3 linked regions of the Mus musculus genome follow. The protein of the gene in region 1 interacts with the protein of each later gene in a biochemical or structural test. Links are inferred from orthologs where the notes say so. Each region holds a gene or a part of one and is shown on either strand. Other genes may lie near its edges.

Evidence for each region. The genes of interacting proteins can lie anywhere in the genome.
Region 2: the proteins of Gsk3b (region 1) and Ywhaz form a complex in vitro, tested with the Homo sapiens proteins (2 studies listed by BioGRID). The link is inferred for Mus musculus from reciprocal best matches to the Homo sapiens genes GSK3B and YWHAZ.
Region 3: of the proteins of Gsk3b (region 1) and Snai1, one has a biochemical effect on the other in vitro, tested with the Homo sapiens proteins (2 studies listed by BioGRID). The link is inferred for Mus musculus from reciprocal best matches to the Homo sapiens genes GSK3B and SNAI1.

What each region holds. Positions count from the first base shown.
Region 1 is NC_000082.6:38,182,659-38,187,139, forward strand, and holds part of Gsk3b (glycogen synthase kinase-3 beta), read left to right. Parts: intron 1-1,776; coding exon 1,777-1,887; intron 1,888-4,481. UniProt on the Homo sapiens protein: Constitutively active protein kinase that acts as a negative regulator in the hormonal control of glucose homeostasis, Wnt signaling and regulation of transcription factors and microtubules, by phosphorylating and inactivating glycogen synthase (GYS1 or GYS2), EIF2B, CTNNB1/beta-catenin, APC, AXIN1, DPYSL2/CRMP2, JUN, NFATC1/NFATC, MAPT/TAU and MACF1.
Region 2 is NC_000081.6:36,791,487-36,796,651, reverse strand, and holds the start of Ywhaz (14-3-3 protein zeta/delta), read left to right. Parts: upstream 1-2,113; 5' UTR 2,114-2,507; exon of another isoform or gene 2,508-2,732; intron 2,733-2,973; exon of another isoform or gene 2,974-2,976; 5' UTR 2,977-3,173; intron 3,174-5,165.
Region 3 is NC_000068.7:167,536,034-167,541,246, forward strand, and holds the start of Snai1 (zinc finger protein SNAI1), read left to right. Parts: upstream 1-2,161; 5' UTR 2,162-2,256; coding exon 2,257-2,338; intron 2,339-2,637; coding exon 2,638-3,165; intron 3,166-5,213. UniProt on the Homo sapiens protein: Involved in induction of the epithelial to mesenchymal transition (EMT), formation and maintenance of embryonic mesoderm, growth arrest, survival and cell migration.

The DNA.
Region 1 (4,481 bases):
ATAAACTAACATTTGGTGGGAGAAGTGCATATGATCATCCAAGAGCTAAGATTTAATCTCATCTTGTTTGATTTTCGTTTTCTACTATTTTTCCCTTTGCATAAGGGATGCTAACCTTTGCCTGTCCACTGTTGTATTAGAGTATGTGAGCTGCTGTGTGAGTTCTGGAATTGAACTCGGGTTCTCTAGAAGAGCAGATAGTGCTTTTAACCACTGAGCCATCTCTCCAGTCTCACCCAACACTGTGCTGTTCTGGAACTCACTCTGTAGACTAGACTGGCTGGCCTGGAACTCACAGAGATCCTCCTGCCTCTGCTTCATGAGCCCGAGCTCTGGGCTTGAGGCATGTACCTCACTGCTCCAACCCAAGATTCTTAGCAGGGACTTCAGATATTTAAACCAAGATAGAATCTGTCTCTCAACTCCAACTTAATTTATTGATGATGATTTTAATATGAGACCAGTCAACACAATTTTGTAGCCATGCTGCTTTGAGTTCAGGCTGTGCAGAAAGCTAATATATCCAGAGTTACAAAAAACACACACATATTTTTTTTTCCTTTGATACTTTCAGTTTTGCAAGCTATTTTGAAATCTACCCAGTCCCTGCCACAACTACTTGATTCTTGTCATTTTAGCCCCCAAACAGCAATAGGCAGTGTTTACTTGGTGGAGTATAGCTGTGTTTATAAAGATAATTAGCATCGTTTGTTTCCCCTGTGCTGATGAGAGTGGCAGACTTAGTATTCCAGTTGACTATGGAAGAAGAAAGACCATCAAAAAAGATATTTTTGGCTCTGTGGAATGCTCTGAACCCATATCTTAAATATAGGGTTTTCTCTCTGTTGTTTCAGTCTTCATTTAAAAGATAAGAAACATATACTTGTTTTTAGTCACAGAGTGGGAGAGTAGAGCAGAGAGTTCCACATGGGTAACTTTGTACCTTCACCTACCCCTCCCTCCTGTAGCATCTCTGATCCATAGGAGATGCACCCAAAACACTGACTCAGACTCCAGTTTGATAAGGTGGAATTGTGAACAGTTTCACCACTCAGTAACCAATAGTAATCCTTAACCTCATTGTTCTCCCTCAGTTTACCCAACTGGTGCTGTTCAGAGAACAGGGTGTGGCTAGTGATTTCTTCTCTTTCCTGTACCTCCTTTCCTTCTCTTGACCTTGAACTCTTGTCTTTATGATGCTACACTGGAGACTAATTGACAAGCTTTTGGGTATGACCTCATTGCCATAAGTTTGTTATATTAGTGATCTGTAGCCTTTCAGAAAAACAAAACATTTGTATGGAGGCTATAGTGTTTCAAAGAATGCTTAGTTCATCCTTTCTTATGAGCTGAAGAAACTGAAGCCGGGACATATCATCAGTCATACACATCACTTGGCAGCAGAGCCTGGGCTAGCAACCTGGTTTCTTGGCTTTTGACTCAATGCATCTTCAAGCAATTTTTCCACATAGGAGAAAAGACATTGATGTTTTTTTAACCTAAAAAATAATAAACATTATAATAAATGATAAGCTATCATAACACAGTATAAGCAACATGATGGGACTCTTAACTATACTGGGATTATAAAGTATGGTAGGTGCATTTGTTCAGCTCTATTCATGTTCAAAAGTAATTTTGTGTAATTAAAATTAACCATATGAAGCTTTTCTTTAAACATCTGAATAAGAGGTGTATAGAAAATTTGCTCTCACTTGAATACCTAAGATCAGTCTCTAATCTGTTTTTGTTCTTTTGTTCTTAAAAACCTTACAGAAAGATGAGGTCTACCTTAACCTGGTGCTGGACTATGTTCCGGAGACAGTGTACAGAGTCGCCAGACACTATAGTCGAGCCAAGCAGACACTCCCTGTGATCTATGTCAAGGTACGTGACGACGGAACGAACCCCTTCTAGTTTCCAGAACATTTTGTGTGAGCCATGGGTAAGGTTGGGATGTGTCAACCCCATTGACACTGGTTACTCCTTGTAAAAACAGCAAGCTTTAGATTGTGTTGAATTCTTACACAGTTTTATAGCATGGAGTCCTCTTAAGGCTTTCATTACTCTGCAGCGGAAAAAGGTACTTGCTGTGCAAGGCTGATAACCGGGTTCTGTTCCTGGAACCTACTCAGGTAGAAGAGAAGCAGCTGCCTGAAGTTGTCCTTAACCGTCCACGTGTGTGGCTCGTGCCCCTGCACACACATGCTCATGTGATAATTGAATTGAGATAAATCTTCTGATAAAATAGAGTAAAGTTCACTTAAGGATTTGAATTGTGTTAGCCCTTGTGTGTGTGCTGTGGGGAGGTGAAGCTCAGGTGAAGGCCGGAGGCAGACACTGTGCTTTTTTTTCACCTTTCCTTTGAACTGGTCTCTTCCTGACCCCTATATAAGCTTTTAGTTGGGGCTTGTCTCAGTCGCTCTTCCTACCCAGGGCTGGGCTGGCAGCCAAGTGTACCTACTCTCAACTTTGTTCATGGTGCTGGAGATTCAGGGTGGGGTTTTGGTGTTTGTACAGCAAATACTCTTACCAGTGAGACATCTCCCAACCCCATAGCTTTGTTTTCATTTTCGATGTCTTCATTGTGCCACATACCAAAACAAACCACTAAATAAATGTAGAGTTCATTTCATATTCATTTGTAATGCTTTATTACCATTTGTAGATATATTTGTTGCATTCATCGTAGAGATTTAAACTGTCAGTTTTAAACAGATTATATTATTTAGTTTTTGGTATCGAATATTAATTCCCTCTTTTTTTTAAATGTAACTACAGCAGTGTAGCTAGGGATTTATATAGTATAGTCCTAGTTACAGTTGTGGTAGATGATTGGAAGCATATATTTTTCTTTTTAGAGGTGAGATAGGGGAGGGATGGATAGGGTCTTACCCTGTAGTTCAGACCACCCTGGAACTTTTGATACTTGTAGCAGGTCTCCTGCTTCAGCTTCCTGAGTGCTGAGATTATAAGTGTGAATTACCAAATCTAGTTAGAAACATATATTTAATATCTGTGCTGTTAAACTAGGAGTTAGGTTTGTTTTTCTGTTTCTCAATGACAGCAGTCTAATTCCATATTTACCCCGCAGCTGACATGGAGCTGACTTGGAGAGGTCACAATGCTGCCACTTCCAACTCAAAGTCATTTACAGCAGGGGGAGGGAGCATACTGACAGGAATGTGGGCTTCCAAACTCTCTGGGGATCCTGAGTAAATCATCTTAGGGCCATGGAGAGAGGAAGATTATTATTCATGTGGGGTCCTGAATGGGTCCAGACTTTTCCCAGAACAAGATTTAGTCCCTCCTTTTGTCCTTTATGGGTTTTCTAGCAAGTTCTAGCGTCAGGTAGTAGAGCAGACAGCTGTGGAAAGTAATGATACAGAGCTGCCATTCTTTCTTAGAAGTTTATTTTTAATTGAGAAAAATGTTAAAAGGACAAGGTATAAGTGCATAGAGAGTTGAATTTAATTTAATTCCAAAATGCTGACATAAAGATGTTATGTATACATTTTTGTCATGGTTCATTTTGAAGGCTTTAACTTGTGTAGCTTGATTTAAATTAACATTAAACCTGTCTAGTCTTAGCACTTTTCTCACACCTCTGAAGGAAAGTAGCTTTCATGTTAATTTCAGTAGTGTCAGTCCTAAGCAATACAGTCTGAAAAGATGGTGTCTTTGTCAGTACTTCTTCTGTTTTTCCTAATTAGACAAGAGGGTTTTTTATTTCCACCGTATTAACTAGGGAATAGAGCTCAGAAAGTAAGCACGTAGAACAAATTGAAGGTGAATCAGGTGGAGAAGGTGTCACATGTCTATAATCTCAGCACTTTAGAGGATGACAGGATCAGGGTCAGGCTGTATTCGATTAGGAGTCTGTCCTGAGAGAGTAAAAATAAGTAAAGAAGGAAGGAAGGAAGGAAGGAAGGAAGGAAGGAAGGAAGGAAGGAAGGAAGATTGAAGGTTCTTGGTTCCTGTTTCAAAGCTTTAAAACAATCTTTTAAGGTATTATTTCTCTGCTTGCTTTGAAGAAATTCCAGACAAAGCCAGCTCAAGGATGGCTTAATAGTTCTAGGGGATGCTGTGCATCATGGTAGGGCAGGCCTGGTGGGCGAGCATGGGGCCTCTGGCCACGTTCAGAGAGGACACAGTACATGAGCTGCTTTTCTTCTTACTCAGTCAGGTACCTAGCCCATCAAATAATGCAGATGCCCTTACAGACATGCCCAGAATTTGTTTTCTTGGTTATTCTAGGTACTGTCAAGCTGGCAGTTAAGATTTACTACCACAATATTGCCAAGTTAGCTAGGCATCTGTTTGTTTGTTTGTTTGTGGTTTTGAGACAGGATTTTTTTCCTGTGTAACCCTGGCTCTCCTATAACTCACTTTGTAGACTAAATGGGCCTTAAACTCAGAGATCCATCTAGGCATCTGTTTTTAAATTACATTGGAAGTCTACATTATTCTGAGGATCTTAA
Region 2 (5,165 bases), on another chromosome or scaffold:
CTCGGGTGGCAGGGCTGGCCACTCACAACAGGCTGCTCCTCTCCACCCTGGACTCTCCAGTTCCATCTCCCTTCATAATGCTCAAGCTGCTCCACTTCTCTTTCCCATCTGTCCACCACATACTTGCACATCGTGGTGTCTCCCACTGCAGGCTGGACACCTGGCTGACGAACCCCTGGGTGACATGTTTTGCCTGCGCTGTGTGGTGTGGTGGCAAGCAGGTGCCTACTGCCTGTGCTAGAGGTCTGTGGGTGACATGCTGGTCTGCTACTTGGTTGGCAGATTTGGGGTTCAGCCATGTCTAGTGGGGAAGATTTATGGTTCAGGTCCACAAGCAGAGGGCATCACTTTGTGTCCCATTGCCTAGCAGTTGGTCAGTGGGCCACACCTAGCTCCAAGAGACTCGACAGTGGGATCCAAACTATGGCAACTGGAGAAGAGGATTTGGGGAACAGCTGTCTGTATCTATTTCTACTTCCAGTTTCTCAGGTATGGAAATTAGAATCTACAGCACAATACAGCCCACTCTTTACTCTCTCAATCACGGTGTTTAATCTTATGGGACTGGGAATTAGTGTGTCCAGTTTAGTAAGCTAAAGAACAGACCTCTGGATGACAAAGCAAGATTGCCCCTCTTCTGATTGCAGAGTCCCGCACATTAAGCTTCACTCAGTCAAATGATGCAGAGCTGAGACGATAGCCTGCCGGGACTGTTTATGACTGAAAAGATCACCCTTGACACGTGTTTCCAGTTGGAATGACAGACTGATGCTAATTTACTTGAACTCTTTACCTTACTGTGTAACATGGGACAGAAATTGAATGAAATGTCTAGTGTTGGGCTAACACGTTCATCTCTGAACTTTAGACCTACCACTTTTAACTGTTTCACTTCGTTTTCACTGGGTTTTGAACACCAGGGACAGCTACCACCCTTATTGTTCCCAAAATGTAATTACAGTAAACTACATGGAGAAAACACACATGCATTCCTCAGCCACAGATGGTAGTACTTTTATTGCTGATATTTTACTACTGTGCCTATCAAAGTATAGCGGAGACATCAACTGCATGAAGTAAGACCCAAGTAAAGAAGACAGGAAGACAATTGGGCAGCTAATCAAACTCACCAGTAACTTCCCCATACTTCAGGCCTATAGGCTCTGGGTTTTGGCTTTGCTACATATTATTCTTTAGAATTCTTCTCAGTTGACCTTCCATGGCAAATCTAATTCTGGCCCCCTTGCAGCCTTATTATGCCTTTATTAGGCAAACATGTTGATTGGAGTTTGTAAAAACTAAAAGCACCTTTTGGTTTATTAAAACACAAAGAAACCTTGCTAGTTAATGCACAAGGCAAAAGCCCAAACTATTTTCCAAAACAAGTCTGCAATTTATGCAGAGAAATCTCTTAACTTTCCCTGAGGTGTATATTCCATATAGACGTGTATTACAGACATTAACAGACATTTCCATTTTACAAAAGATTTAACCTAGTATCTTCTGTCAAATTTCTAGCACCTACTACAAAACTGCAAACATAAAAGCTTTTGAAATAGTCATTTTAAGTGAGTCACTCCCTGAAAGAATTTACATTACAGCCAAAGTAAGTTGACTTCAGTATCTTGGAGATAAAACCTGAATTAATTTGCTCATCTGCTTAGCATGTTATCTGTTGCTGTGGAAACCGGTGTGTGTGTTGGGAGGGGGGAGGGCGGTTGGCGAGGGGAGCGACACTGAACTGGTCACAGGCAAATCTCTACCTAGCTGTCATTTCAGGCAAATTATAATTTGTACAACAAACTTGTGATTCAAACAATGTAACCAACATTCTGATGAAAGACAGTGGTAGGGAAAGAATGCTTGTCATGAAGTCTTCCAGGGGGCTCTGGGGCTGAATTCCTGAGGTTCTTTTTCCAGTTGTGCTTAGTGTAGGCCCCAGAAGGGGCTCAGTGAAAATATTTTAGCTCAGAGGCGCACATTTAAAGAGAGCAAGGACAGATTCTTCATAGAGACTGCATCTCCTTTCAACTTCCGTCTCCTGGGTGGAGACCTTGCGGGTTCAGGCACCTGCAATTTCCGCCCTTTTCCTCCCCCCCCCCCCTTTCCGGGCGGAGGAGCCTCGCTCCTCCTCCAGCTAGAGCCCTAGGAACGGCCACGCTCCCTAACCTTGCTTCCAGGACCTAAAAGGGTCGGTCACTCTCTTACAATGCGCTAATTAGGAACAATGTGTCTCCCAATGAAAGCTCTACAGAGGGTAAAGTGCAGCCCACGACAACAGTTCGGTGTGTTCTAGCCTGTTTCCCCGCCTCGCCCCACGTCAGGCTTCTACGATCACGTCCAACCCGCTAGCCCAACCCTTTCCCCGCTCCTCCCAGCGACCACCCATTGTCCCCGCGGCTGTCACGGTGTGGACGCCGAGCTCGCGACTGGAAAGGCAGGGCGTCATTCAGCCTCGCGCTTTTCCCAGCCTTAAAAGGTCTAAGGCCGCTTCCTGCAGCCAGAAGGTAAAGCGGGCCGCCCGAGGGAGCAGCCGCGCCCGGGCCTCCCTGCCCCGGCGTTGGCGGAGCCGCTGCCCTACTCTCGGCTTCTGATCACAATGCCCTGGCAGTAGAGCTGCCTTCACCCTGCCCCGCAACCCGCCCACCGCCATTACCGGCGCAGAGAGAGGGCGGCCGAGCGGGAAGGGGGTGGGGGGGAACGCGAAGGTCCCGGATGTGCCCGCCAGTGAGGTGGGGGCGGGGAGAGGCTTCCTTCCGCGGGCCGCAGGGGCGGGGAGGGAGGGCAGCTCGCGGGGGCGGCGGGGAGCGAACCGAGCACGCGGGTGAAGGCAGGGTCGGGAGCGGAGCGGAGCGCGAGTACGCGCTCTCCTCCGCTCGCCCTCGGGCACGGGCGGGCCGGCCGGGCGCGCGCAGGGGAGCGGCGGTTGCGCCGGGCCGGAGAACTGTGGGCACCAATCAACGGTTGCCATAGCAGCGTTTGACGTCATCGTGCGTGTGGTGCCCCTGCTGCCGGGGCTAGTGATTGGAGGAAACCCCGTGTCTGCGGAGCGGCTGTAGCCTGTGAGCAGCCAGATCAGGGACAGAGTCTCAGCCTCGCCGCCACCGCTGCTGCCGCCGCCGCCCAGAGACCGCCGAGCCGCGTCCGTGTGCCGCCACCCACTCCGGACACAGGTGAGGAGCCGCCCGAGTCGGCCTCCGGTCCCTTCAGCCCGCCGCCGCGCTGCGGCCCGAGAGGGGTCTTCTCAGGAGGACCCGGGCGGCGGCTCGGCTCTGCCGGGCCCGGGCAGGCGCCCACCGCCGCCCCCGGCCGCTTGCTTCTGGCCTGCCGGGCTGCTCATCGCCCCGTTCTGGTCCCCGGGGTGGGGGTGGCGGATGAGGCGCCCACGCGCGAGACCCAGGGGCTCCCGCTCCCGAGGGCGACCGCGATCCGCCCCCGCCGGCACCCTGCTTCCGCCCGCGACTGTGACTCGGCCGTGGCGCAGGTGAGGCCGCCCCCACCCGGGGCGCCCCCGCCACCCCCTCCCCCACGGCGGGGGGCAGCCAGGTAGCACGCGGGGCTCTGGGGTGGGGCCCGCCAGGGACCCTGGGCTGGGCTCGCTGGGGCCCGCAATGCCAGAAAGGACTCTCGGGACGCGCGGTGGGGGAGGGGCGCGGCCAGAGCTAGGCGTGGGGGTACCGGGGCACGGGGTCCCCAGCGTCCTGGGCTGGTGGGAGGTTCGCATCTTTCCAGGAGCTGCGGCCCCAGGATGGGGGCTGCGCCTGTCTGGGTGGGGCCCTGCCCCTCCCCCTACCGCAGCTGTCGGGACATCGGGGCTTGGGTCGGACACCGGCGGAGGGGACCCTGGGCGGGAGCGGGGTGTGTCCGGCGCGGGCCGGCCGCGGTTCCGCTTCTGCGGGCGCGGATGGCATCGGGCCCCCGGGGAGGGTGATCTGCTCCCCCTCCACCACCACCCTCCGACTGGGGCGGGTGCACGGACTGCTCCTCCCTCTGCCCGGGTGGGGGGGCGATTCACAGTCGGAGTAGGTTGGGCTCCTTGACACAGTTCCGCCATGACAAAGAGAGTCGGGGACTAGCGCGGAGGCACCAGCCTGGGCGGAGCCAAGGAGGGGAGGTGGCTGCGGATGGCGCGGACGCAAGGACTAGCGCTTTAAAGTCACCGCTGCGCGGTTTCGGTTCGCCCCACCCTCCGGCCTCAGGCAGCCAAGGGTTAAGTGGGTGCGGCGAGTATTCCCGCAGTCTGAAGGCGAGGCCCAGGAGCGCTCGTTTTCCTGTGAGAAACCTAATCCACTTCCCCTTATCCGGGAGGTTGGCGGGGGAACGTTTGTACTGACTTAGGCTTACATCATTTTTGGAAGCAACATTTACCAGTGACCGTTTCTAATGTTAGATTTCGAGACCCCGGGGGAAGTATGGGTTCACAAATTTTAAATAGTTAATGCACGGAAGGTACTGTGTCTCGAATTTAAGCTAGCCCTATCCGTGTTTCTGTTCTGGACACTGCTCATTTGGCTACCAAAAAGAGGTCCTTTCTGGAAAGGTAAAGGAAAGAATTTCCATGGTGGGCGGCAGTGACTCTTTATTCCTACACTTAGTGCATTCAGGTTGTGACTTTTCATTAAAGTGTATTTTGTGGGATCACTATATGATTTAGAATTTTGCTCTTGGAATTGTTGAAGAAATGAGAAGTAAATTGGAATCTAGGGAACTTTAAAATTGAGCGAAAGAAAACTGGGGAAATATGAGGAAGACCAGCTTGAGGAGTTGTGACTGCTAGAAATCCTGCCGTGACTCCAGACTGCAGCAGGCAGCAGACATCGGAAGCGCTTGGCTCCCTCCATGTGCTGTGGACGCCCTAGTGCTCACTCAGAGTAGGAAGTGAGTGTGCCTGTGTGCTAGGCGAGAGTTCATAGGACGCTGTTTAGACACAGATTGGTCTTGGGCTTAGTGATTCCTGGTGGTATTGTGTTTAAGATAGTTTAAGCAGCAATTAGGCAGTTTTCTTCAGATAATTTTATACCATGATCAGCTGGCAAATGTTACAAGTGTAGTAGATCAGGGTGGGAGGGTGCTAAATAAAATAAAACTTAGTGGCTCTTTGATAAGAGTATATACATTAAAAAGCTAGAATATAATTACACTGACATGACTCACGATTCTGGAAG
Region 3 (5,213 bases), on another chromosome or scaffold:
GGATACAGATGTATCCCCCATCTGGCTGTAGCTATTGTTTGCTGCTGTATGGTCTTCTATTGTGGGTATGCAACCTGGTTAGTCCGTGTCTATTGTTGATAGATATTTGAGTGTTTTGTTTTGTTTTGTTTGGGATTTCTGCTCTCTCTCTCTCTCTCTCTCTCTTTCTCTCTCTCTCTCTCTCTTCCTTTTTCTTTTTGATATTAAGAGTACAGGTGTCAGCCAGGCCATGGTGGCACACACCTTTGATCCCAGCACTTGGGAGGTGGAGCCAGGTGAATCTCTGAGTTCAAGGGCAGCCTGGTCTAAAGAGAAACCCTGTGGGGGGCTGGGGGGGGTTATTTACAGGTGTCAGGACTGTCCTTTTGTTTGGTCTGGGTTTGAGGCTGGCCGTGGGTTCTTAGCTTTGGTTGCTCTTTAGAGGCATCCAGTCCTTTTGACAGTTAAAATTCGATGCCAACAACCCCGCCCTAGATAAGCGAATCAGGATGTGTCTGCCAGTGAGGGCAGGGCGGGCTTAGGTGTTTTCAGACACTCTTGAGGAAAAGCTTGGCTGAAAAACCCTAGGTGGCAGTCGGCCTAGGAAGGGAGCTTCCTGGGCGTGGAGAGTCACCTGTCACCCGTTAGGGGCTAAGTCACACCTTTCCTAAGCGGCATGCCAGCCAGCATCCATCATTTGACCAAGTTTTACTTTCAGGCCTCTGGCAGGTGTGAGGTTGTGAACAGGCCTCCCCTTGTGGGCTTCATTTGCCTTTCTCTTTCCTTCTTACTAAGCAGGCTTGGGGGAGGCTGAGGGGGTGGAGTGGGGGGCTGCTGAAACAAAGGATGAAAGGGATGAAAGGAAGCCTAGCCAGGTGTGGATCTGGAAGAGAAAACAGGACTGGAGGAAGGCAGGTACCAAGCAAGGCCCCGTGGTAGGAAAGCCTGTTCTCTGATCATAGGGGATGGAGAAAAGTCAAAACCTAGTCAGCTGACTTGTCCGTTGGGACGAGGGTGGTGGTGGGGCGCTGTGTGCTCTCCCTCTGGACTCAGGGAGACTCATGGATGAACTAAATCTACCCAGAGGGCAGTGTTCTCCACGATGGTTGCCTGTTGTCTGACCATCCTCCCACTCCCCCACCCCCCACCCCCAGTGCTGGGAGTCTGATTCTATTCCCTGTTGTTACCTCCAGTGCCTAGAGACTCGATGCTAGCTGGTGCCCCAGAGGTTTCCGTAGACCCTCTGCTTTATAGGTGTTTATAACCCCATACTATGGGGGTGTGGGTTTGGTTTCCGAGGCCACCCTTCCTCCCTGTGAACGTTCCAACACGATTTTCAGGAAGTCGGGAGCCTTAGCCCTGGTCCTTGCTACCTCTGCCTCGCACCTGCCCTTATTGGTGTTTCACAATGCAACTCTAAACACGTCCGTCCTCAGCTGAAAGTCCTTCCGTGACTCCCCAGTGCCTGTAAGGCAAAGTCCAAACTCCTCCAAAGACCCGAGGCCAGGAAATCGGACCCCTCAGGGTCTGCCCAACACCAACCTCATCCTGGAACCTGCTCTCAAAGGTTGGACAGGCAGAAGTTACTGATTCTTACCCCGGGCCTTTCCCCTCGGTGCTTCTTCACTTCCTCTAGGAAGTCATAGACACCCTCCCCTGTCAGGTGACCGTTCATTGACAGTCACAGCTGTCTCTCCCCACCTCCTTTCATCAAATCACACCTCCCTTTAGTATTCGAATCCTCTGTTTATTCTGTCTGTCTCTCTCTCCCACGGCCGGGAAGCCATCCTTGCGTAGGGCATCCCTGGGTAGTGTTTTGTTCAGGGCTGTGTAGACAGTTCCAGGAACCCCTAAGCGCGTGCATATCATCGCACTTTCTGGCTCCCCAGCGCCCAAAGGTCAGCAGCTCGGGGATGTTGCGGGGCACCGCGCTCGTCGTGGGGCAGGCGCGGCCACCAGGGGTCGCCCGAGGAGCTCGGAAGCCGCGCGGTCCGGTCCGGGAGGAGCCCAAGCGGAATCTCAGCGCCACGCGGCGGGAGCCCCAGCAGCCCAGGCGCACCTGCTCCGGTCTCAGTCTCCGGCCGCGCCGCCGCCAGCCATTGGCTCAGCCTTGACAAAGGGGCGTGACCAACAGTACGGTCACGCCCCCAGCCCTGGTACTTAAAGGAATTTGCTGCTGCTAGGGGATCGTAGTGTGCGGCCGGGCCTCGCGAGCGGAGTTGACTACCGACCTTGCGCGACCCGGTGACCCCGACTACCTAGGTCGCTCTGGCCAACATGCCGCGCTCCTTCCTGGTCAGGAAGCCGTCCGACCCCCGCCGGAAGCCCAACTATAGCGAGCTGCAGGACGCGTGTGTGGGTGCGTGGTGGGGTGCGGGACGCGGGCGGCTGGGGGGGATCCCAAGGGTGCTGGGGGGAGGTGAGAATCGGGCTCTGCGGGCGCGACAGGTGGATCTGGAGCTCCGGGTCTTGGCAGTTGGGATCCACCGAGGGTGTCTTTGACCCGGGACGGGGAGGCTCCGGGAGTTGAAGACTCGAAGGCGGGGGTAGCTTTGCGGAGTCCGGGCGGGGGAGGGGAGGGGCGGGCGGGAAGCCCCCCCACCTGGCGCCCCGAGAATCCGCTCAGCTGACTCCCTGCTGTCTCTTCTCTTCCCGCAGAGTTCACCTTCCAGCAGCCCTACGACCAGGCCCACCTGCTGGCCGCCATCCCTCCGCCCGAGGTCCTCAACCCCGCCGCTTCGCTGCCCACCCTCATCTGGGACTCTCTCCTGGTACCCCAAGTGCGGCCGGTTGCCTGGGCCACCCTCCCGCTGCGGGAGAGCCCCAAGGCCGTAGAGCTGACCTCGCTGTCCGATGAGGACAGTGGCAAAAGCTCCCAGCCGCCCAGCCCGCCCTCGCCGGCGCCGTCGTCCTTCTCGTCCACCTCGGCCTCCTCCCTGGAGGCCGAGGCCTTCATCGCCTTCCCTGGCTTGGGCCAACTTCCCAAGCAGCTGGCCAGGCTCTCGGTGGCCAAGGACCCCCAGTCGCGGAAGATCTTCAACTGCAAATATTGTAACAAGGAGTACCTCAGCCTGGGCGCTCTGAAGATGCACATCCGAAGCCACACGCTGCCTTGTGTCTGCACGACCTGTGGAAAGGCCTTCTCTAGGCCCTGGCTGCTTCAGGGCCACGTCCGCACCCACACTGGTGAGTGAGTGTGCATAGCTGAGCTCTGAGTCTGGGCTGTTTGGCCTTAGACCCTGGGGGGACTCAACACTTACTCCTAAGGCTGCCAAGCAGTGGACAAAGTAGATGTTGGTTGTTCTCCATTCTGTACCTTGCTGTTCGAGGCTAGGAGTGAAGAGGTGTTCCCTATCCGGGCTCAACCCACACTGTAGAAGTCAGACAGGATATTGCTAGACAGGATATTCTGCACCTGGCCTTGAATCCTGAGTCGAGAACTTCCCCAGTTTCCTCGTTTCTAAAATGTATCAGAGAACACTTCGTGGGGTCTTTGTAGAGTGAAGTGCTAGGTGCAGGTGCCACTAAGAAATGACTTCCCAGTGACTATGAAGACGGCTCAGTGGTTAGAGCACTGGCTACTCTTCCAGAGGTCCTGAGTTCAATTCCCAGCACACATGGTAGTTCACAACTTAACTAACTGCCTGTTAAGAGTCCAGTTCCAGAGGACCTGACACCCTCATACAGACATACATGCAGGCAACATACCAATCCATGTAGGACAAGAATAGAATAGACACATCTTTTTTTTTTTTTTTTTTTTTTTTTTTTAAGAAGAGAAACAAAGACATGACTTTGCTGTCCTCTCAGCCTTGGGCCACGTGGGAAGCTTCTAGAAGTGAGGGAAGGCTTCAGCCAGGCTTGGTGGGGGTTCCGGTTGGGCTGCTCTTTGGAAAGTGTGTCAGGCTTTGGGGTAGAGCTGTGCGTCTCTTGTGGTGGCCAGCATTGGGGCAGTGAGGCCTGGGGGTGGCAGGGAGGTATTTGCAGGTCTCACTGACACCTTTATTACTTGAATAAGATTACCCGTTTCCCCCCCCCAGGCACGGATTGCCTCAGATTTAACCTATAAAAGTGTAACAGGCTGCCTCTCTCCGGCTGGGTTGCTAAGCTGTGGGGCTCTACTTTGGGGAAGAGCTGAAGCCCTCAGGGTCCTAGGCTGCCTCCGACCACCCCCCACCCCCCAGGGACTTTGTTTTGATGTAAAGGCATGGCTCAGACAAAACCCTCCTTGAAATGCACCACCCAGTTCTCTAGGAGTTCCATTGTGTGTCTTAATGGTAGCCCAGGGGGTGGGGGCCTGCAGGGTTAGAGCAGGTGCACGGGGCAGCGGTGCCCAGCACCTGTTCTTGGCCGCAGCTGCTGGCTCATTGCACGGCAGGCCCCTTTAATCCAGGGGGTATCACATGTACAGTGTCCCCCTTAGTGGCCTTTGTCCCAGCCGGCCTGGTGCCGATTTCACACTTGCCAGGAACACTATGAAGGCGTCTGGGGGTCGGGGATCTGTGAAGAGAGAGAGAGTGTGTGTGTGTGTGGGGGGGGGGGTGTCTACACTTCCTGTGCAAGCCCAGAGACTCCCAGCTCCATCCCACCCTGTGTTATCTTGAAACCTCCCTTTTGTTAAGTACTTCAGTTCGCCTGTCCCTGCTAAACGGACAGGTAGTGGTTAGGCCATTCTAGGGAGGGGGCAACACCCCTTACTTGTAGGGACCCACAGATTGCCAAGGTCCACCACCACCCAGGGCTTTGGAGCCCCACCTGTGTAGCTGAAGACTTGTGTGGGTTTGTGCCCCCTAGGGGGGCTGAAAGCGGCTCTGTTCAGTGAATACCTGCTGAGTGGGTGGATCCCGCAGGATCCCTGCTGAGATTTCCTCTATCCAGAGGCTCAGCACACCCAGGCGCCATTCCTCAGCCCCGAATTCCATCACTAGAATCCAACCAAAGGGCACCGCCTGTGGACTAGCAGGCTGGGAGGGACGGGAGGCTTGCCTTGTTTTGAAAATCCGTTTGGCATTACAGCCTCATGCTTGGCACATAGTAGGGGTGCAGCAGATGTTTGGTTTTGTCGGTATTTGTTAACTCAGCCAGACTGGGTTTAAACCAGAGACCCTCCTCCCTCTGTCTCTACAATGCTGGGTTACAAATATGGACCCCCAGGCTCAGGTCCCCTTTTTTAAAAAGCACATTTATTAATTCAGGTATTCACTGAACAGAGCCGCTTTCAGCCATCCTCGGGG